Linked DNA regions of Neurospora crassa OR74A. The protein of the gene in region 1 purifies or fractionates together with the protein of each later gene. This does not show direct contact. Links are inferred from orthologs where the notes say so. Each region holds a gene or a part of one and is shown in the gene's direction. Other genes may lie near its edges.

The links.
Region 2: the proteins of NCU04611 (region 1) and NCU00133 purify together in Saccharomyces cerevisiae (affinity purification with mass spectrometry; 4 studies listed by BioGRID, with this or other methods). This does not show direct contact. The link is inferred for Neurospora crassa OR74A from reciprocal best matches to the Saccharomyces cerevisiae genes SPT6 and POB3.
Region 3: the proteins of NCU04611 (region 1) and NCU05120 purify together in Saccharomyces cerevisiae (affinity purification with mass spectrometry; 3 studies listed by BioGRID). This does not show direct contact. The link is inferred for Neurospora crassa OR74A from reciprocal best matches to the Saccharomyces cerevisiae genes SPT6 and RPB2.
Region 4: the proteins of NCU04611 (region 1) and NCU01164 purify together in Saccharomyces cerevisiae (affinity purification with mass spectrometry; 5 studies listed by BioGRID, with this or other methods). This does not show direct contact. The link is inferred for Neurospora crassa OR74A from reciprocal best matches to the Saccharomyces cerevisiae genes SPT6 and SPT16.
Region 5: the proteins of NCU04611 (region 1) and NCU03782 purify together in Saccharomyces cerevisiae (affinity purification with mass spectrometry, with the first as the bait; 3 studies listed by BioGRID). This does not show direct contact. The link is inferred for Neurospora crassa OR74A from reciprocal best matches to the Saccharomyces cerevisiae genes SPT6 and RPB11.
Region 6: the proteins of NCU04611 (region 1) and NCU01515 purify together in Saccharomyces cerevisiae (affinity purification with mass spectrometry; 9 studies listed by BioGRID, with this or other methods). This does not show direct contact. The link is inferred for Neurospora crassa OR74A from reciprocal best matches to the Saccharomyces cerevisiae genes SPT6 and RPB3.

What each region holds. Positions count from the first base shown.
Region 1 is NC_026505.1:1,505,100-1,509,067, forward strand, and holds the start of NCU04611 (transcription elongation factor spt-6), read left to right. Parts: upstream 1-1,168; 5' UTR 1,169-1,559; coding exon 1,560-1,727; intron 1,728-1,800; coding exon 1,801-1,983; intron 1,984-2,038; coding exon 2,039-3,968. UniProt on the Saccharomyces cerevisiae protein: Histone H3-H4 chaperone that plays a role in maintenance of chromatin structure during RNA polymerase II transcription elongation thereby repressing transcription initiation from cryptic promoters.
Region 2 is NC_026503.1:2,736,155-2,740,373, forward strand, and holds NCU00133 (FACT complex subunit pob-3), read left to right. Parts: upstream 1-1,419; 5' UTR 1,420-1,666; coding exon 1,667-1,677; intron 1,678-1,833; coding exon 1,834-2,056; intron 2,057-2,112; coding exon 2,113-2,606; intron 2,607-2,664; coding exon 2,665-3,036; intron 3,037-3,093; coding exon 3,094-3,691; 3' UTR 3,692-3,955; downstream 3,956-4,219. Other genes in the region: NCU00132 (hypothetical protein), read right to left, coding at 52-172. UniProt on the Saccharomyces cerevisiae protein: Component of the FACT complex, a general chromatin factor that acts to reorganize nucleosomes. The FACT complex is involved in multiple processes that require DNA as a template such as mRNA elongation, DNA replication and DNA repair.
Region 3 is NC_026506.1:3,684,660-3,688,608, forward strand, and holds the start of NCU05120 (DNA-dependent RNA polymerase II RPB140), read left to right. Parts: upstream 1-1,149; 5' UTR 1,150-1,793; coding exon 1,794-3,949.
Region 4 is NC_026505.1:3,095,916-3,099,942, forward strand, and holds the start of NCU01164 (transcription elongation complex subunit), read left to right. Parts: upstream 1-1,227; 5' UTR 1,228-1,790; coding exon 1,791-1,967; intron 1,968-2,066; coding exon 2,067-2,151; intron 2,152-2,207; coding exon 2,208-2,329; intron 2,330-2,400; coding exon 2,401-4,006; intron 4,007-4,027. Other genes in the region: NCU01163 (GAF domain nucleotide-binding protein), read right to left, coding at 1-42, 178-180. UniProt on the Saccharomyces cerevisiae protein: Component of the FACT complex, a general chromatin factor that acts to reorganize nucleosomes. The FACT complex is involved in multiple processes that require DNA as a template such as mRNA elongation, DNA replication and DNA repair.
Region 5 is NC_026505.1:2,390,594-2,394,892, reverse strand, and holds NCU03782 (DNA-directed RNA polymerase II subunit RPB11), read left to right. Parts: upstream 1-1,499; 5' UTR 1,500-1,883; coding exon 1,884-1,900; intron 1,901-2,759; coding exon 2,760-2,818; intron 2,819-2,941; coding exon 2,942-3,052; intron 3,053-3,193; coding exon 3,194-3,408; 3' UTR 3,409-3,847; downstream 3,848-4,299. Other genes in the region: NCU03783 (transmembrane domain transporter), read left to right, coding at 1-420, 493-675; NCU03781 (CobW domain-containing protein), read right to left, coding at 3,969-4,299. UniProt on the Saccharomyces cerevisiae protein: DNA-dependent RNA polymerase catalyzes the transcription of DNA into RNA using the four ribonucleoside triphosphates as substrates. Component of RNA polymerase II which synthesizes mRNA precursors and many functional non-coding RNAs.
Region 6 is NC_026502.1:3,218,554-3,222,440, forward strand, and holds NCU01515 (DNA-directed RNA polymerase II polypeptide), read left to right. Parts: upstream 1-1,258; 5' UTR 1,259-1,498; coding exon 1,499-1,564; intron 1,565-1,637; coding exon 1,638-2,203; intron 2,204-2,283; coding exon 2,284-2,665; 3' UTR 2,666-3,387; downstream 3,388-3,887. Other genes in the region: NCU01516 (mitochondrial co-chaperone GrpE), read right to left, coding at 1-340, 420-692; NCU01514 (mitochondrial dicarboxylate carrier), read right to left, coding at 3,822-3,887. UniProt on the Saccharomyces cerevisiae protein: DNA-dependent RNA polymerase catalyzes the transcription of DNA into RNA using the four ribonucleoside triphosphates as substrates. Component of RNA polymerase II which synthesizes mRNA precursors and many functional non-coding RNAs.

The sequences.
Region 1 (3,968 bases):
GACGGCACACCGTAGTGGGGGGGAAATACAGTGCGGACTCTGAGAGAGGTCCGGACGAAGCTATTCCCAGGTACTTAGCCATACGTACTTATAAATAGACGGTGCCATCTTGCGCACAGCCTATCTCCAGTGGACCCTGTGAAGCTCTTGTAGTGTAGCTCGCTTACAGGCAAGAGATGAAGAAACTCTCTGGCACGCATGTGTCCCTGTTACCAGCAAAACAAAAGAAAAGTATCAACATGCCAATGACAGGACCATCTTCAAGTCTAACCGCAGCACAGCAAGCACAGTGCACGTCATGTTCGTACAACCCCAGAGCTCTCAAGAAGCGCGCCATGAGATGTCGAATCAAGCAAAATACCGCTGTGATTGGGCATGACCAGAACCAACAGTCGGCTGTGATCCGGATGATGCCAGGGACTTGTTCGAGATATGCGTGCCAAATGGTGGGTCTAAGCGCGGATGGCTGGGGATCATGACCCCCCGAAGAACATCTGAAACCAAAGATGCTCGGTTCAACTCAAGTGGTGAGTTCCATGATGCGCGGCATGAACGTCTCTCAGATATAGTTTAGCCATGCGGATCCCAGAGTTCAAGCATGTCGGCGACTGAACTTTGCATAAACATGCCCAATGTGCTCAACATCATAGTTAGAGCTTCCGTTGCTAGCTCCCCTCGAGGGCATGGATAGTGTCGGTTGGTGTCGGTTGGTGTCTGTACACGGCACCATATGCTCCGATGTGCACTTTACAATATTGTTTTTGTTTTTTGTTGTTCTCCTGACAGATGAACTCCAGATTGTTTGGCTGTCAAGATGTATGGTCGTGACGGTCCGAGACTGGCCTAACGAAATCTGTGAACTGTTTTCGCACGAACCCAAAGGGCGTTGTGACATCCTCGTGAGCAAAATGACAAGCACAGTAAAAGATGCCATCACAAAACATAAAGAATTCGGGACAACTGGAAGTTGGTGATGGGGCTGCTCGCCGTTCAATGTTGACGAAATGCACGGGCCAAGCCATGTGTTCTTTCTCTGTACATAACAGTTCTATGGCCTGGGCCTTGGCGAGGCTGAACGCGTTATGTGGCGCGTGGCGTAACAAGTTCAGTTGGAGGGTATGTACAGGGGCGGGTGGCCGGGCCTTGCTTGGCCCGCCGTCTTGCTCCAAAAATTCGGGTCTGGTCGACACTACACAATTGACGTGCGTGCACCGACCGACGTGACCTGGCGGCAGGCGAACCACCTAGGAGCGAGCAGCACGTACACGGCGGCAGCAGCAGCAAGCGGGCAGCCTTTCGGCCAGAAAGGTTCAGGGCAGTCGCGGTCAACTCAGACCTCCTTCAATTGCTAATCACTTCTTTTTCACCAAACGAGCTCGCTCTTCACCCAACTTCCTCCTGTATTCTTCTTTTCTTTTTTTCATCAGCACCCTAAGAGCGACTGTTGCTCCCATCGAAACGCGCTTCATTTCCAATTCCGACCCTCTTAGGCGGTCGAGACTTGTCCGAAAAGACACCTATTTACACACCAGTTTGCGCCACCCCAACCAGCCGTAACCATGAGCAACAGCATGCGCGACTTGATTGACGGCGAGGCCGAGCTCGATGACGAGGAGGATGATGAGTCCTTTGATGAGGAGGCCGGCGACCGCCCGAGAAGAAGACCCAACATTGATGATTCCAGCGAAGAGGAGGAGGACGACGAAGATGAGGAAGAGGCTAGAAAGGTATGCCGCCTCTGGCCCGATGCTGCAACATAGCTCCGGTTGGGAACAACGCTGACACACCCACCGCTCACAGATTCGCGAAGGTTTCATCGTAGACGAAGATGAAGAGGACGAGGCCGAGGATTCGGATGCGCGCGAACGCCGTAGGAGAAAGAAGCGCCGTCGTGAGCGCGAAGAGGAGGAGCAGCTCGACGAAGAAGATCTCGACCTGATTGGTGAAGCGATTCCTGAGTGGGAGCGGAAGCCACAACCCCAGGTATGTGCTCTACGGTTTCCGGTGATATCATCCAGTCGGCTCACCTTTTTCCAAGCAAACCAAGTTCAAGCGCCTGAAACGGGGTCATAGGGATGACCACCGCCCCACTGAACGTCGCGGTCTTGCCGAGATCTTTTCCGATGAGGACGAAGAGCACGATGATCGAGGCTACGGCCGTCCCAGCGGCCGGGCTCAAGCGGACGAGTTCGACGACTTCATCGAAGATGATTACCCCGAGGATGACGAAGAACGTCGACACCGCGAAGAAGATGAGGAGGTTGCTCGTCCCAAGGATAGGGGCCTCAACATCGACACAACCGGCCTCGACAAGGATGCTCTCGAGGACATGGATGCCATTTTCGGTAATGGTGAAGATTACGAATGGGCGTTGCAGCTGGAGGAAGAGCAGGAGCACGCGGAGCGAACAAAGGAAGATATCGAGTTGCAGGATGTCTTCGAACCTTCGCAGCTCAAGGAGAAGCTTCTTACCGACGAGGATAACAGGATTCGGTTCAACGACGAGCCTGAGCGCTTCCAGCTCGATCGCAAGGCTTTCAAGAATCTCCAGATGACGTCCGATCAGTTCAAGGAGGAGGCTCGGTGGATCAGCAACCTGATGCTACCCAGCAAAAATCTTTCCAGTGAGCTTCACGGTCCGTTCAACAAGGCCGTGGGCAAGGTCCTCGAATTCTTCGTTATCGACGGCGTCGAAGTTCCCTACGTTTTCCAGCACCGAAGAGACTACCTCATCCACGCCAAGAAGATGCGCAACCCGAATCGCCGTGACGATCCTGACGCTCCCGAATATACTGTTGACGCCGAGAAGCTCCTTACCCAAGATGACCTGTGGAAGGTCCTGGATCTCGACATCAGGTTCCGGTCTTTCCTGGAGAAGCGTAACGCGCTAGAACAAACTTACGACAAGCTCAAGGAAAAGACCCGGGACGATATCCTTGAAGAGATGATACGCCAAGCGCAGTCCATTGAGGAGCTCCAGGATCTCCAAGATTACCTAAACTTCCAGTATTCGGCGGAGCTGAAGGACCTTGCTGCCAACGATAATAGCGCACAGCGTGAGATTAAGAGGGCCGGTGGCAGGACAGCCCAGTTTGAACGCATCCGGCGATCCAATGCCTACAAGTTTGTCCAGGCACTCGGAATAACGCCTGATCGTCTTGCCAAGAACATTCTGCGCGAAAGCAGCAAGGTGACCTCAGAGGACGATTCAAGGCTACCAGATGACCTGGCCGACACATTGGTAGACGCCGATTTCCCGACCGGCGAGTTGGTCATCAATGCTGCTCGCCAGATGCTTGCTGAAGAAATGTTTGCCAGTCCTCGGATGCGCAAACACTTCAGGAAAAATTTCTACGGCATGGGCATTGTGAGCTGCCGTCGTACTGACAAGGGTCTACGCAAGATTGACGAAGCAAATCCTTACTACGAGGTCAAGTATCTCAAAAACATGTCTATCGCCGATCTTGCCGTTCGCCCGGAGCTCTTCCTCAAGATGATGAAGGCAGAGGAAGAAGGGCTCATCGAAATTAAAGTTTCGCTGGAGAACGACCGCGAATTTAGGCAACAACTTTTTAGTGATTTCGCCTCGGAGAACTTTAGCGAGCTTGCCGACAAGTGGAACGCGGAACGTCAAAAGGTGATCGATTTGGCCTTTGACAAGCTGGTAAAGGTTATTGTCAAGGGTGTGAAAGACTCCTTGCGGACGGCGTGCCAGGATGAGCTGCTTAAAACCTGCCGTGAGCTTTACTTCAAGAGACTGGATCAAGCCCCTTATAAGCCCAAAGGTATGGTTATTGGCACGACTCCCCGCGTGCTCACGCTATCGAATGGCATGGGCGATCCCAACCGTGAACCTGTATCCTGGGTCTCGATGGATGAGGATGGAAGGATTCTCGAACACGGTACCTTTACCAACCTAGCTCGCGATGAGAGTCAACGCGAGGCCTTGGCTGAGCTAGTCAGGCGTC
Region 2 (4,219 bases), on another chromosome or scaffold:
AGATAGTGATCGGAATTTCCTGAGAGTCAGTATCGCTGGACAGGTTCCTACATTGAGAAGGCGGTGGGTTGAAGATGACTTGCGCCGCCTGTGTAGTGGTTTGCGGAAACTGGATGATGTAACGATTGCGGCCGCATTGGCAGCCACCACGGAGGGGACGCTCGAAGCTCATCTTTGAAAAGGTGTAGAAACAACAAGGCAACAAGAGTGATTGATGGTGGAAAGATTGATTCAAGCTTCGTTGGGATCCTTGGGGGGCCAAGTAAGTGTGCAAGTCGGAAGTTCGGTATACTAATAGCTCCAGCTAAGGTTCAATTGAAGCAGGCAAACAAACGGCCCAGGCAACAAAGGAGAGCTTCGTTCTGTTTGAATAAAGAAACCGAGCGAAATATGACGATCAGGGCAGACGAGTGACGGAAGGAAGTCGAGGCGGGGCAGCTTGAGCGGGTGTGCGGGATGCCACCAGTTCAAGCATGTAATACGTCAATCGTGGGGTGGCGTATAAGTGCCCCTCGTGGTCTCCAGGTCAAGGCCGCAGGCAGGAACGTCTACGACGGGAATTGTCACCTTCGGTGAGCGAGTCTTCCGCCCTTGTGAAACAGCCAATGGGCACAACAAGAACGAACTAACTTGAGAGTTATGTTTGTGTTCAAGGGAAGAAAAAGAAAGAGATCAAGAAGTGGTACAAGGCAGAGAACATTACCACTTAAGGTGACTAAGTACCTCTAATACAATCCCATGTCATGAAACAGGCGCGGAAGATATCATATGCAACCACTTAAAGCTCCACGCGCTAGCCCCACATGCTTTTTGGGGGGTTGACGATATTGGGAATCGCGCCCATGTCCATGAACCGAAGCTATGTTGAGTTTGTTTAGTAGATTGAGAGTGGCAACCCAAGTGGCATATTTGGAACCAGTTGAAAGCTTCAAAATGCTCTGACCAAACAAGGAACGCTTGTCGCGAGGGGACACTTTTCCCACGTAACGAAGCGACTCGCTTGGAACGTCCTCTTTCCCTCCCGTGTTCAACGGGCCGAGCACTAGCGGAACGAATACAAGCAAGAAGGAGCGAGATACAAAGAATTCAAATGTGAAAAAACCACCCAACATAATTGTTGATCCGTAACTACAAGAGAATGGAAGGTGTTGTGTTACTGTAGATCGCGACAGATTGGAGGACAAGAGGACGCAGTTTCTTTTAGACATTCAAGATGATACAAACAGTGAATGACTCTCAGAGCGACAAGAAGGCCTGTGTGTCGTTGGCAAAGCTTCCTTGGAAGGTGACAACTGAATAAAGTGGTGGTGTTCTTGCAGGCTTGGGAGAGAAATCAGAAGCTCACAGTTGCCACGCGCTACAACCAAGCTGTTGCCCACTGCGTAGACCCTACACGTACAGTAGTACTGCGACTTGCCACCTGCCACCAGCATGGGTCGTCGCCTAGCCCAGCGGAATGCCACCTGCCAGCCGAATTAACCTTCAATTAACGAACTGGCCTAGTCGCGACACGGTCAACTTTCTCCGAGGCACGCGAACCTTCAGTTGGATTGTTCATCAGTATTTGCTTGCAACACTTTGCAATCACTGCCACAACATCAGACGCCATTTCCAACTTGTCCATCAACCCCAACTCACCATTAAACCAGTTGGATAGAGGGGCAATATGGCTGCCATGTAAGTCGCATACCTTTCTGGATTTCATGCTTTCGCGCGCTCTTGCTCGTCTAACCCTGCGACGACGGATGTGCCCCGCTCCATCTACGCCGTAGGGCACGGCTTTCACCGGCGGAGATCACAGCTCAGTGCCATTTCTAATACCTTCATTTACAGCGAGAGTTTTGACAATATCTACTTGGATCTGTCCAAGGAGAGCGGAAAGTCGAGATTCGCGGAAAATGGCTTGGGATGGAAACCTGCGGGTGGCGGCGAAGCGTTCACTCTCGACTCGAGCAACATCGGCGGTGCTCAATGGAGCAGGGCGGCGAGGGGCTATGAGGTTAAAATCCTATTGCGAAGCTCTGGCGTAGTTCAGCTCGATGGTTTCCACCAAGAAGTACGAAACCTATCCACGCGCCATCGAAGCGAAGGAACGCTGACGTGTTGCCACAGGATTACGAGCGCCTTAGCAAGATCTTCAAGAACTGGTACAGCGTGAACCTCGAGAACAAGGAACACTCTCTGAGAGGATGGAACTGGGGCAAGGCTGAGTTTAGCAAAGCCGAGCTCACTTTCAACGTCCAAAACCGACCGGCCTTTGAGATTCCTTACTCCGAGATTTCCAATACAAATCTTGCCGGAAGGAACGAAATCGCAGTCGAGTTCGCCGGCAACGATGGCGGCAAGTCGAACGGTCACAGCGGAACAGGCGGAAAGGGCAAGAAGGCGTCGGCCGGCAAGGATCAGCTGGTCGAGGTGCGCTTCTACATCCCTGGAACGACAACACGAAAGGAGGCCGAGGGTGGTGAGGCTGGTAGCGACGCCGATGAAGAAGAGAAGAACGCCGTGACTCTGTTCTACGACACCCTTATTGAGAAGGCCGAGATTGGTGAGACGGCGGGTGATACTATCGCTACATTCCTCGATGTGCTACATCTCACGCCCAGGTACGTGGAAACTGCACGCTGGTTGTTGATCCTTTTCCGGTGCTAACTCTCCCGATAGAGGACGTTTCGACATCGACATGTACGATGCCTCCTTCCGTCTCCGTGGCAAAACATACGACTACAAGATCCAATACGATGCTATCAAGAAATTTATGGTGCTTCCCAAGCCGGACGATCTCCATTTCTTGCTTTGCATTGGTCTCGACCCGCCCCTTCGTCAAGGTCAAACACGTTATCCATTTGTGGTGATGCAGTTCAAGGCGGACGAAGAGGTGACTCTTGACCTGAACATCACCGAGGAGGAACTCAACGGAAAATACAAGGACAAGCTTCAGAGCCACTACGAGCAACCACTTCATCAGGTTGTGGCGTACATTTTCAAGGGACTTGCGAACAAGAAAGTCACTACACCAGCCAAGGACTTTACAACGTGAGTTATATCTGTTCATTTCATAGCCAGCAACGGTACTGACCTAGGAACCCGCAGGCACCGTCAGCAGTACGGCATCAAGTGCTCTATCAAAGCCAGTGAAGGATTCCTCTACTGCTTGGAGAAGGCGTTTATGTTTGTCCCCAAGCCGGCCACGTACATCTCATACGAACAGACACAGTCCATCACGTTTTCACGCGTGGGCGGTGCGGTCTCGGCATTGTCGACGTTCGACATTACAGTCCACATGAAAAACGGCGCGGGCTCATCCCAATTCAGCAACATTAACCGTGAAGACTTGAAGGCTCTCGAGGAATTTTTCAAGCTCAAAGGACTGCGTGTCAAGAACGAAATTGATGATGACACCAACCTTATTGCCGCCGCCTTGGGCGATGACGACATGGCTAGCTCGGACGAAGAGGCCGTCGGCCCCAAGGCTGATCGTGGCTCCGCTGACGAGGATGAGGAGAGCGTGGATGAGGACTTCCAGGCTGAGTCCGAAAGCGACGTGGCGGAGGAATACGACAGCAACCATGAGAGTGATGGGTCGGGCAGCGAGGAGAGCGACGTCGACAATCGGGTCGATGATGAGGATGAGGATATGGATGATGACGAGGGAGAGAAGCGCCCCAAGAAGAAGAAGAAGACGGCTTAGGTTTATTTTTCATGTTGGCGCGTCGTTACTTGTTTGATTAAAAAGGCAGATCACAGGCTGGAAGGCAGGCAGGCAGCTGGGTATTTGGGGCGTTCCGGTACTTTCGTGACACGAATATGTGTTAATTCTGTATTTTCTCTACCATATATCGATACGATACTTGGGGCGTCAAAGACGACATTCCCAACGGCAGTGTCAAACTAGTATCTCGATGTTCCCTCAACTTGGGCGCGCAATGGAGCTAATGAACACTGAAGAGCGGCAGGCAGATGGTCAGCTACCTAGTTGATCCGTTATGGTTCTTTTTTTTCCCCTTCGACTACAACGAACATAAGACATCGGCACATCCTTTGAGACTTCGCTTCTTCTTCAGGGCCGCAGGATGGATAGAGGCCGTACTCCAAAAGTACGGCATGGAATGTATCAGCCTGCAGGGCGTGCAGGCGGTTGAGGTGGGTATCGCTCTAGCGGTCAAAAATCTACCTACCTGGTAGGTAGGTACCTACCTCTATGCGTTCCCGCTCTGTC
Region 3 (3,949 bases), on another chromosome or scaffold:
TTCCGACGGAGCCCTTCGAACGCGGCTCAAAACCCTCAGGCAAGACCTTGGGCTACCAGCACATTGTAGAGTAGAATGCAAAGACCACGCAAGTCTGCTACCAAAGTTTCTAAGCGATTGGAGGTACCATCGCTTCCAATACCATCGGCGCAGGATGAATCGAGTACGGAGAACAAGCATCCCCACAGGCCCATGAGAAGCCTTCAACAACACCGATCCTGATCAACCGGCCTCTGCCCTCGTCAACACACAAACGGCGCCCGCAAAGAAGACCTATCAGACTCATGTTGGCGTTGCAGCAATCGCAGCTACGGTCCAGATCGTGCCCGTGCTGATTTCGCCCTTCAGCGGGGGCCCTCTAACGGCGTACATCAGTGCATTTGGCTTTTTGGTGTTGCTGAACGTTGAAATGGGTGGATAGCATTTTCTCGGCGACGCTCATATTATTCCCCAGTTGCAATGGTGCTCATGGTAGTTGTCCTCCATGGGATTGGCAGCAAAGGATGGTAGGTTCTGAAGGGTTTGATCGAAGCAAGGCGAGTGCTTTCATTGCATCTGCCTGATGAGTTGCTGGGATGGTGTTCTTATCTCTCTCTCGAGGTTGATAACCTCAACGCACGGTCCATGTTGGATGTTTGTTAGCTCGGTACTTCAAACAAGACACTCCGACCTTTGTAAGGCCGGCGGAAAGTCCTAAAGATAATTCAAAACAAAAATGTAGCGAGGTCCAAAACATGTCCGAGAGAGACAGGAGTCGAAATGGCCAGAGATAGCGTTGGGAAGAGGAGTTGAAAGGGCTTAAAAAAACGTCGAATGTATAGAGAAGTGGCCCCCAAACAAAGTTTCGCTATACCAGGCAGATGTAAATGCTGCGCCTGCTGTGAGCTGTCGCCGGCCGACGTTTGACCTGGGAGCCTGGGCCTTTGACCTCCATCGTTGCCGGCCGGATTTGGCGGGGACTTGGGTGAATGGACGTTATGTTGCATTAGTAAAGCTGCAATCCAACCAATCAGCTTGACGAACTGGCCGGTTCAAGATCCACTTTTGGCCTCGCCGCCTGGAGCTTGGACTTTGTTCAGTCTGTGCTTTGCCAGCAGCAACCACGTCTGGCCTGCCTTGTAGCCCAGTCGGACCTTGTCTGTCGGTTTGGGATTTTGGAGTGGCACTCTCCGTCCGTCCCTCGCTGGCGTTCGGCCACTTTCCCCAAACCACCATCACCACCTCCTCAACCAACATCGCGACCTCCTCCGCGCGTGTTGTCCTCTCACCCCGCCACTCCCTGCAGCCGCCGTCGACGTTTCTGTTGCGCTGCATCCATTCTCGCACAAGTCGGCATCCATCGACTCGATCCGTTCATTTGCATCTCTTTGAAGCGGCAAAGAGGGTGCAACGTCGCGTTCCGACATCGACAAGGAAAATCCGAAAAAAGTGACGAGCTGTAGATGGGCGACTGAGTGATCCTCGGCCATCTACCACCACCTACCGCCGGCTAACCCGAGCCGCGATACCCATTTTGCTTTTCTCAATCGACCGACCGTTATCTTCTTTTTTAATCGACCCCGGATACCCCAACAGCAGCCAGACCAGACGCTGTCGTCGCGTTACCGCCTAGTCTAGTGCCTGCCGATTCCCGGTCGGACCTTTCATTCACATACCCCGCCACCGACCGCCACCTTTCAGGATCCATTCCCGATTCATCGATCACTTGTTCAGCCAGCCCTCAGCCCGCTCGACAACCATCCTCTCGCCCGTTCACCAAACCACCTGCACCGCTCGCCTTGCTGATTTGCAAGATGGCCGCCTACGCAAAGGACGGCAGCCAGAGCTATGGCGGCTATGGAGACACATACGACAATGATGACAACTACGAGAACCTCTCCACTTTCGACGACGAAGATGACGGTTCCGACCCCAACGCCATCACGCCCGAGGATTCGTGGGAGGTCATCTCTTCCTACTTCGACCTCAAGGGCCTCGTGTCCCAGCAGATCGATTCTTTCAACGAGTTTACAACAGACACAGTGCAATCTCTAATAGACGAGTATGCCGATCTTACCTTGGACCACCCAAGCCCAGGCGACGACGAGGGCAGAGAGATCATTTTGCGCAGATACGACGTTCATTTCGGAGAGATCATCATTTCCAGGCCGACCCTCACCGAAGCCACGGGCGAGACTATTAGTCTTCTCCCGTACGAATGCCGTGACCGCAACTTGACCTACTCGGCTCCCATCTACTGCAAGGTCACCAAGCGCGCCCGTATCGCCGTCAGCGAAAAGAAGCCCCTCAACCAGCTGACCGATGACGAGCACGACCACATGGCCCGCACCGGCGAGCACCCGACTGCTCTGCGCTGGATCGAGGAGGAGAGTGCGCCACCAGAACCACCCAAGGACGACAAGATTAACCCGGAAAACCTCAAGGGCTATCTCTTCCTTGGCAAGATCCCTATCATGGTCAAGTCCAAGATCTGCCACCTTTACATGGAGGACGACGAGTCCTTGTTCACCCTCAACGAGTGTCCTTACGACCAGGGTGGCTACTTTATCATCAACGGTAGTGAAAAGGTTTTGATTGCCCAAGAGCGCTCTGCCGCCAACATTGTCCAGGTCTTTAAGAAGCCTCCTGGTGGCAGCGTCTCGTACCAGGCCGAGATCCGCAGTGCTCTCGAGAAGGGCTCCCGTCTCATTTCCTCCCTCCAGATGAGGCTGCACACAAAGGCTGACCAGAACAAGGGTCGTTTGGCCAACACTGTGAGCGTCACCCTGCCCTACGTCAAGGAGGAGGTCTCTCTCGCCATTGTGTTCCGTGCTTTGGGAGTTGTCTCGGACGAGGATATCCTCAACCACATCTGCTACGACCGCCGCGACAGTCAAATGCTCGAAGCCCTTCGTCCCTGCATTGAGGAAGCCTTCTGCATTCAGGACCGTGAGGTCGCTCTGGATTACATTGGCAAGCGTGGTAACGGCAGCACCGGAATAAACCGCAACGGCCGTATCAAGGCTGCTAAGGAGATGCTCCAGAAGGAACTGCTACCCCATATCTCTCAGGCTGAAGGTTGCGAAACCAGAAAGGCCTTCTTCCTTGGCTACATGGTTCACAAGCTGCTCCAGTGTGTCCTTGGCCGCAGAGATACCGATGATCGTGATCACTTTGGTAAGAAGCGCCTGGACTTGGCTGGTCCTCTGCTGGCCAAGCTTTTCCGTGGCATCGTGAGACGCCTGACTCAGGATCTCATGGGCTACATGAAGCGCTGCGTTGATACCAACAAGCACTTCTCCCTGGCCCTCGGTATCAAGGCCTCCACCCTTACCAACGGTCTCAAGTACTCGCTTGCCACTGGTAACTGGGGTGACCAGAAGAAGGCCATGTCCTCGACTGCTGGTGTGTCCCAGGTCTTGAACAGATACACATTCTCGTCGACCCTGTCGCATTTGCGTCGTACAAACACGCCCATTGGTCGTGACGGTAAGCTCGCCAAGCCTCGTCAGCTGCACAATACACACTGGGGTTTGGTCTGCCCAGCAGAAACGCCAGAAGGTCAGGCTTGCGGTCTGGTCAAGAACTTGTCTCTGATGTGCTTCGTCTCGGTGGGTACACTGGCCGATCCCATCATCGAGTTCATGATTGCCCGAAACATGGAAGTGTTGGAGGAGTACGAGCCTTTGCGGTATCCCAACGCCACCAAGGTGTTCGTCAACGGTACCTGGGTTGGTGTCCATCAAGATCCCAAGCATCTCGTCACTCTTGTCCAGAACCTCAGACGCAAGAACATCATTTCGTTCGAGGTTTCGCTGGTTCGCGACATCCGTGACAGAGAGTTCAAGATTTTCTCGGATGCCGGTAGAGTCATGAGGCCGTTGTTTGTTGTCGAGCAAGAAGACAACAGCGAATCCGGTGTCGAAAAGGGTCAGCTCATCCTTACCAAGGAGCATATCAGGCGCCTTGA
Region 4 (4,027 bases), about 1.6 Mb from region 1:
CTTGGTGACGTTGGCAGCAAAGTTGGAAGCGTCGGCGTGAACCTATAAGACGAATACCGTGTTAGTCTCAACCGTCCTCAAGTTTGGAGAAGCCTGTAGTTCGTAGGTAGGTATGCGCGATGAGGTCTTCAACTGTCTCGAAACAAAGGATTGGACTGATTGAAACTGTTCACGAACCATTTTGACGTATTATTATGACCCTGTTCTTTCTATGTACAAATCTTGAAAATCGACCTAGAGTGGTGGTGTTGGACACCGAGGAAGCGAACTTCAACTTTTGAAATTTGTCATTCACTTCTGAATCCGGGGAAGTGGGGCCAAATGGCACTGCTCCGGTCGGGTCCGTGCGGAACTGCCGCCGTACCGGCAGCCGATGGGCCGGCCCCGAGTGGCCTCCGGTGGATTCACGGTTTCGATCCCAAAGAGGACCGGACTGAATCACCAGCCGGATAAAGGAATCCAAGATAATTGTGCGGATACTTACTAGATGGTGTGGGAGGCTCGTCCTCGCTTCATACTGGGCAGGATACAGCTCAAGGGCCCTTCTCGGAAGTTGTGCTGATGGCAGCTTGTCTTCTATTAGTGATCTGGACCTTATGATGTGCTGTCTAAGTTACCCGAACCAAGGTCCAGAAGATGCCCAAATGGTTGTCGAGACGGCAGCGGGAACTACTTATTTTTGCAGTACAGCAGCTCGCTTTGCAGTGAACGTCAAATCACGGACAAGTGATTGGTTCGATGGGCACAGTTCGTCGTCTTCCACCATTCAGTAAAGTTTCCCGTCGGGCAGATGTTAGCCAATTTTTCCATCTCATGGCGGTATCTTCCAGAATGCCGATCTATCAAGTATAGATGTGAAACATCACAGGTTTTCCGAGCGGCATCTTGGACATTGCTCTTTGCACTTGTACGCGGTGTCTGGGCCCGTCGAGTCTATTCTTGAAGATAGTGTTGCTGTCGTTTCGCACAGTGATTGCCATCACTCGTTCATTTATTCATTCAGGTTGACATGGGTATCAGCTCTAGGTTGATCGCTGCTGAGGACGTTCTTTGCGTCGAAGTAAAGAAAGGTGAGTTCTGGTTAGTACGTCTACTAGTATTTAAATGGAAGAAGTTCGGCACCCCAGAGCTTCCATCGCTTGCCAAGACTTAGTTTAATCGTACCTGTGCATTGGAAACTTAGCTCCACCCCTCCCGTCCCTCTGTTTCCATTCCACGCCCTGTCCCGCCTGTCCCTCTTTCATCTCCATGCACTCGCTGCAGGGCACCTAAAGAAAGAGGTACAAGTTCGACTTACAAAGTTAACAGAATCGCAAGTTGTTGGAAGTCCCGACGACACCATTTACGCTCGTCTATTTCCATCATTCATCAATATACTTCTCTACGATTCCCATACTACAGACCTTTCAGGAATATCACCATTGCCGTGGCAACCAGCATATATAGTTGCCTCAGGCACAGAACAGAACCTCTTAGGCATCCTAACGCGAAGGCAGTGGACAGGGGCGCCAAGAGCTGTGGCCCGTGACGTGAGCGACGCGCGACACGGGAATTTTTGTGTCTTTGGCCTGGAACCGGATCCCGGCTGGCAAGCACTGTAAAGTACTAGCAGTGCCGGCTGGAGAGGTGTGGTAGCCTTGTTTCTGTCATCTTGAAGGGTGTCTGCCGCCACCGTCAGTACCAGAGCAAGCAGCCCCTCGCCAAAAGCACGACTTCACCCAAACCCAAACCTCTGCTGATTTGATTGTTTCTGCCATCTTCAATCGCGCGCCGCTGTGCCGTCGCTCATCATGGCAGACATCAAAATCGACAGCAAGGTCTTCCAGGAGCGCGTCTCGCACTTCTACAATGCCTGGAAGGCCGACAAGCGCTCCGGAGACGCTCTCTTCGGTGGCGTCTCTTCCATCGTCATCCTGATGGGCAAGGTCGACGAGAACCCCGAGTTTCACAAGAACAACGCTATCCATGTGAGTTTTGCCCTCTGGAGAGCCCGCTCGGCGTGCGCTGGCTGTACGTCTGGCGGGCCATTCCAGTCAAATGACAGCTGCTGATAGCTCTACGTAAAGTTCTGGCTGCTAGGTTACGAGTTCCCGACGACCCTCATGCTGTTTACCCTCGACACCATCTACATTCTCACCACCCAAAAGAAAGGTTCGCCCGGTATTCCCGACCCAAGAACGCGGACAAACTATCTGACACGTTAATAGCCAAGTACCTCGACCAAGTGAAGGGCGGCAGATACCCCGTTGAGGTCCTCGTGCGGGGGAAGGACGCCGCCGAGAACGAGAAGCTTTTCATCAAAATTACGGATGCCATCAAGGCTGCGGGCGTAAGTTACATCCCATCCTGGGCGCACATCAACATCTCGGTGCGGTTCTAACACATTTTCGCTCGTTATAGAAGAAGGTTGGCGTCCTTACCAAGGACACCTCCAAGGGCCCCTTTATCGACGAATGGAAGAAGGTCTATGCCGATAACTGCAAGGATGTGGAGGAGGTTGACGTTGCCCAGGCTCTGTCTGCTGGCGCCTTCTCCGTCAAGGATGAGACCGAGCTTCGTGCCATGCGGACCTCGTCCAAGGCTTGCGTCGCCCTCCTGACCCCTTACTTCCTCGACGAAATGTCCAATATCCTCGACCAAGATAAGAAGATCAAGCACAGCGCACTAGCCGATAAGGTCTTCAACAAACTGGAAGACGATAAGTTTTGGAAGACCGTCGAGCTGCCCAACCGACAGAAGCTCCCGGCTGACCTCGATCCCGAGCAGCTGGACTGGATTCTGGGACCGATCGTCCAAAGTGGTGGCAAATTTGACCTGAAGTGGCAGGCTGATTCTGACAATGATATACTCCACCCGGGAATTATCATCGCGGCTATGGGTCTCAGATACAAGTCCTATTGCTCCCAAATCGCCAGAACTTTCATGGTCGATCCCAACAAGTCCCAAGAAAGCAACTACAAGTTCCTACTTGCTGTCCACAACCTCATTCTCAAGGAGATCCGGGATGGTGCCATTGTCAAGGATGTTTACACCAAGGCCTACAACTTTGTGCGGTCCAAAAAGCCCGATCTTGAGAAGCACTTTCTTAAGAACGTCGGCTTTGGAATCGGCCTGGAGAACAAGGACCCGACCTTGATTCTCAACAACAAGAACACCCGTACCCTTAAGGATGGCATGACACTGGTTGTGACCACCGGCTTCAGTGATATCCAGAACCCCAACCCCCAAGACAAGAACAGCAAGGTCTATTCCTTGATCCTTTCCGATACGATCCGTGTCACTAGCTCCGAGCCGGTGGTGTTTACTGGCGAGGCGCCTGTCGATGTTGATGCCACCTCGTTCTTCTTCAAAGATGAGGAAGAAGCACAGCCCACACCGAAAAAGGAGAAGCGGGACTCTAGGGTGGGTGCCGTTGCAACCAAGAACATCACTAGCACTCGTCTACGCTCTGAGCGTAATACAACGGTAGATGAGGACGCGGACAAGAGACGTCGCGAGCATCAGAAGGAACTCGCGCAGAAGAAACAGAAGGAAGGCTTGGCCAAATACGCCGAATCTACCGCTGATGAGAATGGCGTCGAAATCAAAAAGTTCAAGCGCTTCGAATCTTACAAGCGGGATAATCAATTCCCGCCCAAGGTTAAGGATATGGGCATCGTTATTGATCAAAAGAACGCGACCATAGTACTGCCTGTTATGGGCAGGCCGGTACCCTTCCATATCAACACCATCAAGAACGCAAGCAAGAGTGACGAGGGCGAGTGGTCATTCTTGAGAATCAACTTCCTATCTCCTGGCCAGGGTGTGGGTCGGAAGGATGAGCAGCCCTTCGAAGATGCATCTGCGCACTTCGTCAGGAGCTTGACTTTCAAATCAACCGATGGCGATAGGTATGCTGACATTGCAAACCAAATCTCGAACCTCAAACGAGACGCTGTCAAGAAGGAGCAGGAGAAGAAGGATATGGAGGACGTAGTTGAGCAGGACAAGCTCGTTGAAATCAGAAGTAAGTCGCTTTCCCGGATCA
Region 5 (4,299 bases), about 890 kb from region 1:
TCCATGAGAAACCCGGAGAAGTTCCCCAAGGTGATGGCCGTCGTCATGATCATCATCACCACTTTGTTCACCGTTATGGGCGCCGTCTCCTATGCCGCCTACGGCTCCAAGACCGAGACAGTCGTGCTCCTCAACTTGCCCCAGGACAACAAAATGGTCAACGGCGTGCAGTTCCTCTACTCGCTCGCCATCCTGCTTTCGACCCCACTGCAGATCTTCCCCGCCATCAGGATCACGGAGAATGCACTCTTCACGAAGAGCGGAAAGTACAATCCGTATATCAAGTGGCAGAAGAACGTGTTCCGCTTCTTTGTCGTCGCTTTCTGCGCCATGGTTGCATGGGCGGGTGCCGATAACTTGGACAAGTTCGTCGCACTGGTCGGTAACTTTGCTTGCATCCCGTTGGTGTATATCTATCCGGTGAGTTTTGCTACGTACCCTTGCTCCTTCTTGTGTAGATGATCAATCAGACGCTAACACAGTCACAAACAGCCGATGCTGCACTACAGGGGCGTCGCCAGAAGCGCTCTCTGGAAATTCTCGGATGTTGCCCTGTGCGTCTTTGGCTTCATTGCCATGGCGTACACGACTACCTTGACTGTCATGAGCTGGGCCGGCGCTGGAGAGGGCGGAGAATCGCCTGGCTATTGCGATGCTAAGGGATTGAACCCGTAAAGGCGTGCAAACGTGTACGTATTGATCACGGAATGAGTCATGAGTATCCTCTTGATTATATGGGACGAGCGTTGGGGTTTATCAAGAACAATGGATCCGACGATATGATTATGGTTGTATAGAATGAAAGGAAATCATGGGATAGGGGTCGACATGATGAGAGCAAGACATATGGGTTATGACTAGATGATTGTGGGATGGACTACACTGTAGACTTGATGGGAGTGAGCAATCTGTTGCCGAGAAGCATGTCTAGAGTTTGTATTGCATCGTGAGGGAAGCGTTTCCCTGTTTGTTTGAAGAAGCTCGTTACCATAACGATGGAGCGAGAATAGTTTGACTTTTGAATAAATTGATTAGTCTGGCATTTTCCCCATTGTACGTCTATGGTGTCGATGTCATTTTACTGTTGTTTTGACGTGTCATTACTGGGTTTATTCTCCCTAGCAGTCTCTACAATCTCTGACTCTTTGAGGGGCGGCCTTTCTCTCCCATTGCAAACAGTGTTCGAGCGAACAGTGTGGTAGCTACGATGACCTTCCATATATCGGTTTACTCTTTGCATACTACCATCCTCATTTCATGGTTGGAAAGAGTTCCTTCCCCACAGTGTGTCGCCGTCGTCTGCTTCGCCAACAAGCAAGCTCACTGCTTTCTTTCTTTGTTGAACCCTAACCCTCCCTTGCAAGCATGTATGTATACAGCCCAGCGGACCGAGTCATCCAAAAGCGGGATGGCGCTGAAATAACTGAGCGCACAGACCACACGTACCTTGATCCGGAGTTCAGTGCTCCAACTGCGTTGCCCCCATCTCACAGTGGATGCGCAACCTGGACGACCTCGAAGACATCGATCAAGTGCGTTCACTTGTGTTAAAACATCCCACCCCCTTCACCAAGATCAAAACCTTCACCAGCTGACGAGCAGTATCAAAACCTGAGCGACTGAAACCTTTGGTAGTCTGTCCCATTCACGCTCCAATTTTGGGTATCGAAATTCCTACGTTCCCCCGGTCCCGCCATAAGAGCGAATCTACACAATTGCTACATCAACCACTCGACGTTCTTGAGCAGTTGACATCGTCACCCCCCGGTCTCAACCTCAACACCATATCGCAAATTCACGATATCGGGCGACGACGACAATCGTTTATACACCACCGATAACCAACAACGAGCTCTACGTCATATCGTTAGCCAATCGCCAAAATGAACGCCCCTGATAGGTTAGTAGAATCTTCTCTTCTTGCTGGTTTCTTTCCACATGGAGAAACCAACCCCCCTCTTCCTTCTGCCCTGGACGACGCGCCTCACGCAAATGCCGGAAACACTCGACCTGGGTTGCCTTAAATCTCTTGAGGGCGTTCGACAAGGAATCATAACGACTATGTCAAAAGTCATTATGTCACATGCCGGTGTCGACTGGAACCGCAATGTCAACTCATCTCAGTACGACAATGGAACAAATCGACCTGGACGGACAGGCAGACACTCGAATAGTCCGCCCCAGTTCTTAGCCTTACGTGTCTATCCTTCATGGTCTACGAGCTTGGTTCAATCTTCCCCTCCGGTAGGCGGTGTTTGTCTGGTTGCTGGTGCCAGGTGCCTATTGTTTTGAACGCGAAACAAACGGGACGGCTTTCATCTGATCATGGACCATGGACGCAAATGGAAGGCAACAGGCAGGCGAGGCAGCTGGGAGACTAGCGATCTGGGAGTTGGTGGGTAACTTGTCTACCACGGATTCACCTTGACCAAACTCAATCTGGATGGAGAGTCGCTGGCTGTCAACGATATAAAAGGCGGACGACTTCCTCCTCATACACCACTTAAACCCTTCGTCAAACCAACATCCCTTTGGACTAGCACACAGTCCATCACGACAAGAAGGATATTGATTCCATGCCCTCCTCGTCACCTGGCAACAGCGAACAGGACCAAGATCAACAAGATGAGCGGAGCCAATCCCAAGCAAAACAGCGAGCCGAACCGGTCCGCCTTCTTCTTTCCGTTTATACTCTCATCATTACCTCACTTTTGGGTAGTAGGAAAACATTACTGACATTTGCTTCCAAAAACAACCAGGTTCGAGCTCTTCCTTCTCCAGGATGGAGAGAAGAAGATTGAGGAGAAGGTTTTCACTGGTGAGTCGAGTCGATCTCCTCATCTTCTTGATAATGAGGTGATACGTGGGGAGAAGAAGAAATAGTAGAAGAAGGAAATGGCAAGAAAACTGACCCCGATTTTTTTTTCCATTACTTGGATAGGCATGTCGAACACCTCCGACTTCAAGATTCTCAAGGAGGACCACACCCTCGGCAACCTCCTCGCCGAACATCTGAAGCAGGCCCCTCATGTCTTGATGGCAGGATACAAGAGTACGTCACGTCGTACCGCCGCGTCTTACTTCACTTTTACTTTTCTTCTCTTTACCCCCCCTCCCCACACAAACCCTCACCACCACCACCACCACCACCCATGGCGAGATAAACAGAAACTGACTGACACGTAATTATTAGTTGCCCACCCTAACGTGCCGGAACTCTTCATCCGTATCCAGACAGACGGAAGCATCACCCCGCGCGAGGCTCTCGTTGGCGCGTGCAAGCAGCTCGTGGCCATGTACGGCCAATTGGGCCGCGAGTTCCAGAAGGAGCTTGCCCTGCGCCAGTATGCTGACCAGGGCGAGCAGGGAGGCGGCGTGAACGGCGGCGCTAATGGCGGTCATTACTGATCGAATCGATGCCCGCCTTAACGGGGTTGTTCGCGGTGTTTACTCTACTCCCGACACGCCTTTACTTTACTTTACTTGACTGCCGGAGGAAAGTTTACGAAGGTCGTCCGATGCTGAATTGGGGGGGTGGGAAAAGAGATGCGATGGTGGCATGGACGGTGAAAACATGATTAGCTCATTATCTTTGCTGTTTTGTTGATCGGATCGGTCGTCATTCAAAAACGGCGTTTAGGGATTTTCTTTGAGGATGCTTTTCAGTCAGTCTCTTTGCAGGCGTTAATGATCAAGACATGCATGGGATATGGAAAATAAGGGGTTTTGACAGATCTCTCCGTTTACTCGCTCAATGCTAGGGCAGAATGGGAACCATAGATTTGTTCAAGGTGTCTTGTGGTGAGAGTATGCGAGGAGTGGATGTTGAATTTTTAAGAAGTTTGTCAATATGTCTTTGGGACGTCTGCTTCTATTTGCTCCCATCAGGTGCGCTCTATTCTATCCCGAAGTCTTATTGTTCGTTCATACATAATCCATAGCTCCTCGTCTATCAAACGTGCCGCTCTCTAGTTGACCTTGGTAACGCTCAACTCGCCCTTCCCATTCTCCTCTTCAAGCTCCAACAACCCACCAGCCTCCAGTCTCTTCTTCCACTTGGTGCTCTCATACCTGGCCAGAATCATGGTCATCCTCAGTATCGCCTCACTGCTGGATTCGTGCTCCTTGACTTCAGCCGCAACAGGTGTAAACGTCCACCTTCCAAACGCCCAGTTGAGGATATACCTCGTCGTTTGAGCTTCGCTTCCCGCGGACGTAGGTGGTACTGGAACCTTGGTATCCTCATCCGAATTCTTCAGCACCTCCCGCGCAGTTTTCGCAGAAACCGCCAACACGGCT
Region 6 (3,887 bases), on another chromosome or scaffold:
GCATGGGCGCCATGAAGGTGGCCTCGTGCTCGTTGGGGTTGAAGACCTCACCCTCAGGTTCGATGCGCTCAAGACCGTGCTTCTTGAGGGTCGAAAGGAGGATGCTCTCGGTCATCTTGAGACCCTCGTAGAGGTTGACGAGGTCCTTGAGGTGCTCAGACTGCTCCTCCGACTTGAGCTTGTCCTGAGGAACCACGCTCAAGGCGCGCTCGAAGTTGTCGACGCTTTCAACGAGGTCCTTGGCGAACTTTTGAATGGCAAAGTCCTTGGCCTGCTTGACGTCGCGGGCGGTGCGCTCCTGGAGGTTGCGGAAGTCGGCGACGGTGCGAAGGCACTTGTCCTGTAGAGAGGGGCATCCCGTGTAAGTGACTTGTCCATCATGGCTGTATGTGCATATGCTTTGAAGCTCAAGAACCAACCTTCCACTCGCGGGCCTCGGCGTCCTTGGCCTCGAGCTGCTTCTTGAGGGCAGCAACTTCATCGGTCTCACCCTCCTTCTGCTCGGCGCCCTCGTCGGCCTTCTTCTCACCCTCAGCCTCGGCGCTGTACCACCGGGCGGCGGAGCGCAGCTGGGGAGCAGCTGTCCGGGCAGCTTGCATCTGGAAGATCTGGGAAGCAATAGGGCGCTGGGCGGCAACGCGGGCGCCGGAGCAGAGGGCTCTGGAAGAGCGGGTGAGGGCTGTTCGTAGCATGTTGGCTGGGTATCTGGATGTGACGGGTGGTGAGATGTGGCGATGTCAGAGACAGGGAAGCGTCGCGTGTTGAGAGAGGCACTTTCTCAGAAATTTTGAGACAGCTGCGCTAGCACGGGACGGAGACGGCATGGACGGGCGGCGGGTTGGGCGGCCAACAGGGGCCTTCGCAGTGTCTCCCACAGTGGGATGGTGGGAGGGTGGGTGCTGCTGCTGCATCAATCCTGTCGGCCGGCTGGGCGGGAGCGAACCGAAAAGCGGGTCATGAACGGACCGCCCAAAATCGACGAATTGCCTGCCGGACCATCGAGTTTTGCTCAAATCGACAATTGGAGCTTCGACACCTCAGCGCCCCGGGTGTGCCTGGCGGGGCTCTTTTGTGCGGGGGAGTCGAGATGGACCTGGCTGCTCCTACCTACTCTGTTAAAGACACGCCGTGGAGTTAGCCAACGCCAGGTCATGTGAAGATAAGGCCAGCTTAATCCTGGTCACTTTGTCTGCCCGCTGCGGCCTCAGCCAGAGGCAAGATTGGCGACTGGCCGCACTCAGTCCTACCATAGGTGGTGGCGCCTCCGAACCTCGACCCGTCAACGCGCCGGAAACCGAAATCAGTCCGCAACTTGCATTTCGCATCAACCGGCCCTCAACAAAGGCCACCTCAACCGCAACTCACCCTGCCTCGAACCACAACTTCCTGAACCGTTTCTCCCCCCGCATCCAAATTTTATCATACACCACAAAACGTACCATCGAGAACTGCCGACTGTAGCGAGAACAACTGACCGACCGCCGGTCAACACGCAAAGATGGATTACGATCCGATGGTGATGGACGACGCCGAGTCCCTGGGACCGGTCGTCAAGATCTCACAAGTATGTTCTGTGTGCTCTTGCTCACAGCAATTGCGCTCAGCTGCTCGTTCATCGTTCTAAACCATCATTCTAGGCGGACAACACCCGAGTCAAGTTTGAGCTCTCCAACACCGAGCTCAGCTTCGCCAACTCCCTTCGTCGCGTCATGCTTGCCGAGATTCCCACGATTGCCATCGATCTAGTCGAGATCGAGGCCAACAGCTCCGTTTTGGCCGACGAATTCATTGCCCACCGCCTGGGCCTGATTCCACTCAACGCCGAAGGTATCGAGCAGCTTCTGTATTCTAGGGACTGCGACTGCGACGAATACTGCGAGCATTGCAGTGTGACCCTCAACCTTCACGCCAAGTGCACTGGCGACGACATCATGCAAGTCTGTGCCCGCGATCTTGTTCCAGTCGGCGATCGCGTCAACCAAGTTCTCGGCTCGCCTATCATCAATGATCCTGAAGGCCAAGGTCCCCTCATCCTCAAGCTTCGTCACGGTCAGGAGATCAAGCTCCAATGCATCGCGAAGAAGGGTATTGCAAAGGAGCATTCCAAATGGGCCCCAAGTGCCGCCATCGGCTTCGAGTACGATCCTCACAACAAGCTGCACCACCTCGACTTGTGGTATGAGCAGGATCCTAAGAAGGAGTGGTAAGTACATTCCATCATCTTCACTTTTTCCAATTCCCTTTGATGTGACCGATGTCTCACCATTTTGTTTTTCTCTCCAGGCCTCCTTCGGAGTACGCCGACTGGGAGGAGCCTCCCCAGGAGGGCGAACCGTTCGATTACGATGCCGTACCACAACGCTTCTACTACAACGTCGAAACCGCCGGTCCTATTCCCCCTGATGCTATTGTCACTGAAGGCATCAAGGTCATCCAGCAGAAGTTGGCTGGTCTGATCCACGAACTTACCGAAAGCGATGGTGGTGAGAACGGATACAACGGACCGCGCAGCCCAGGCTACAACGAAGGTGGCGACAACTGGAACGACCAAGGATCGTTTACGCCATATGGAAACGGAGGAAACCAGAGCTCTTGGGGAGGTCAGGGAGGTACCACGCCCTACGGAGCGACTCCCTACGGAGGCGGCCAAAACCCTTGGTCTTGAGCATCATATGCTTACAGTTTACGATTTGCGACGTCAATTACTCCTCCTGATGGCTTGCGAGGTCATTGCGCCTGTCTTTTCCGGGAGGTTTTGGGTATCTGCGGTATCTTTGCGGCGCGAGTTCGAGCTGCGCACTTCGATTAACAACACAACACTTTTACCATTCAAACAAGATTGAGATTCGCATTCCTATACACACACTCGCGCCATCACCACCAGCTCAGCATCTACTTAGTAATCGTGGCGCCTCCGTCTCTTACTGCGGGGACCGTAACTCAACCACACTTTGTGGCTGAGGCCCACGGAACGGATCAGGGCCAAATATCGGACTTTTGGCGCTAGGCACGAGCCGCCACGTCAAGGTCAATTTTGGGGGAAACTGGGAAAAGGAACTTTGGGAGCTGGATCTTGACATTAGGGGAGAGGAGAGAGGCGCATTCTGAAGGGATTCAAGTCAGGGCGAGAGGAACCAGAGCATATCTTATTTGAGCGTCCCTCGTCCAGACACCACATATACTAGGCAGCGGAACGAGGACAGCTCTCTCTGTTATTGGCACCCTGCAAATGATCTATCGCACAATTGCGAGGTATAGACAAAAGGTGAATATAGTTACCATGGTCTGGCGACTACATAGGGGACCAAAATACCCAAAAAAAACATTCATAAACGGTTCGAAAGTGCGAGGTTCATAAAAAATCAAGATGCCATTCTCGCCGGTTGCTGGAGTCTAGTAAGCACTTGCTGCTCTGGTCTATTTGCTTTACACAACTCTGCAGGAAACACCAAACTCCCAGGGTAAGACTACATAAAGCCAAAACACCATCGAAATGACAGCCCTACCGCCGCTTCAATGCCTGACGGATGAGGGAACATCTAACAAAGGAAACCTATGAACAAGAAAACATGAGGTATCGCCATCTAGGTCCTGACAGAAAGACCACCACTCGGCCTCTAAAATGCAGATTTCCTCTATACAAATCCGGCCATTATGTCCCCACCCACAAACTTTTTGATTGAAATGCATTTGAAAACCCGCTGTTGCTGCTGCTAGTCCGTCTAAGAAGCAGACTCCCAAGACTGGACATGGGAGGAAAGGTGAAGAAAGAAAGAGAGATTAGAAAAGGTAGGTAGCCAGGAAGAGGAGCAAATGACAACTCATTCCTCAATGCCCTTGACCTTCTTGTACATCTTCCGATGGCCCTCCAAGAAGATGAAGGTGCA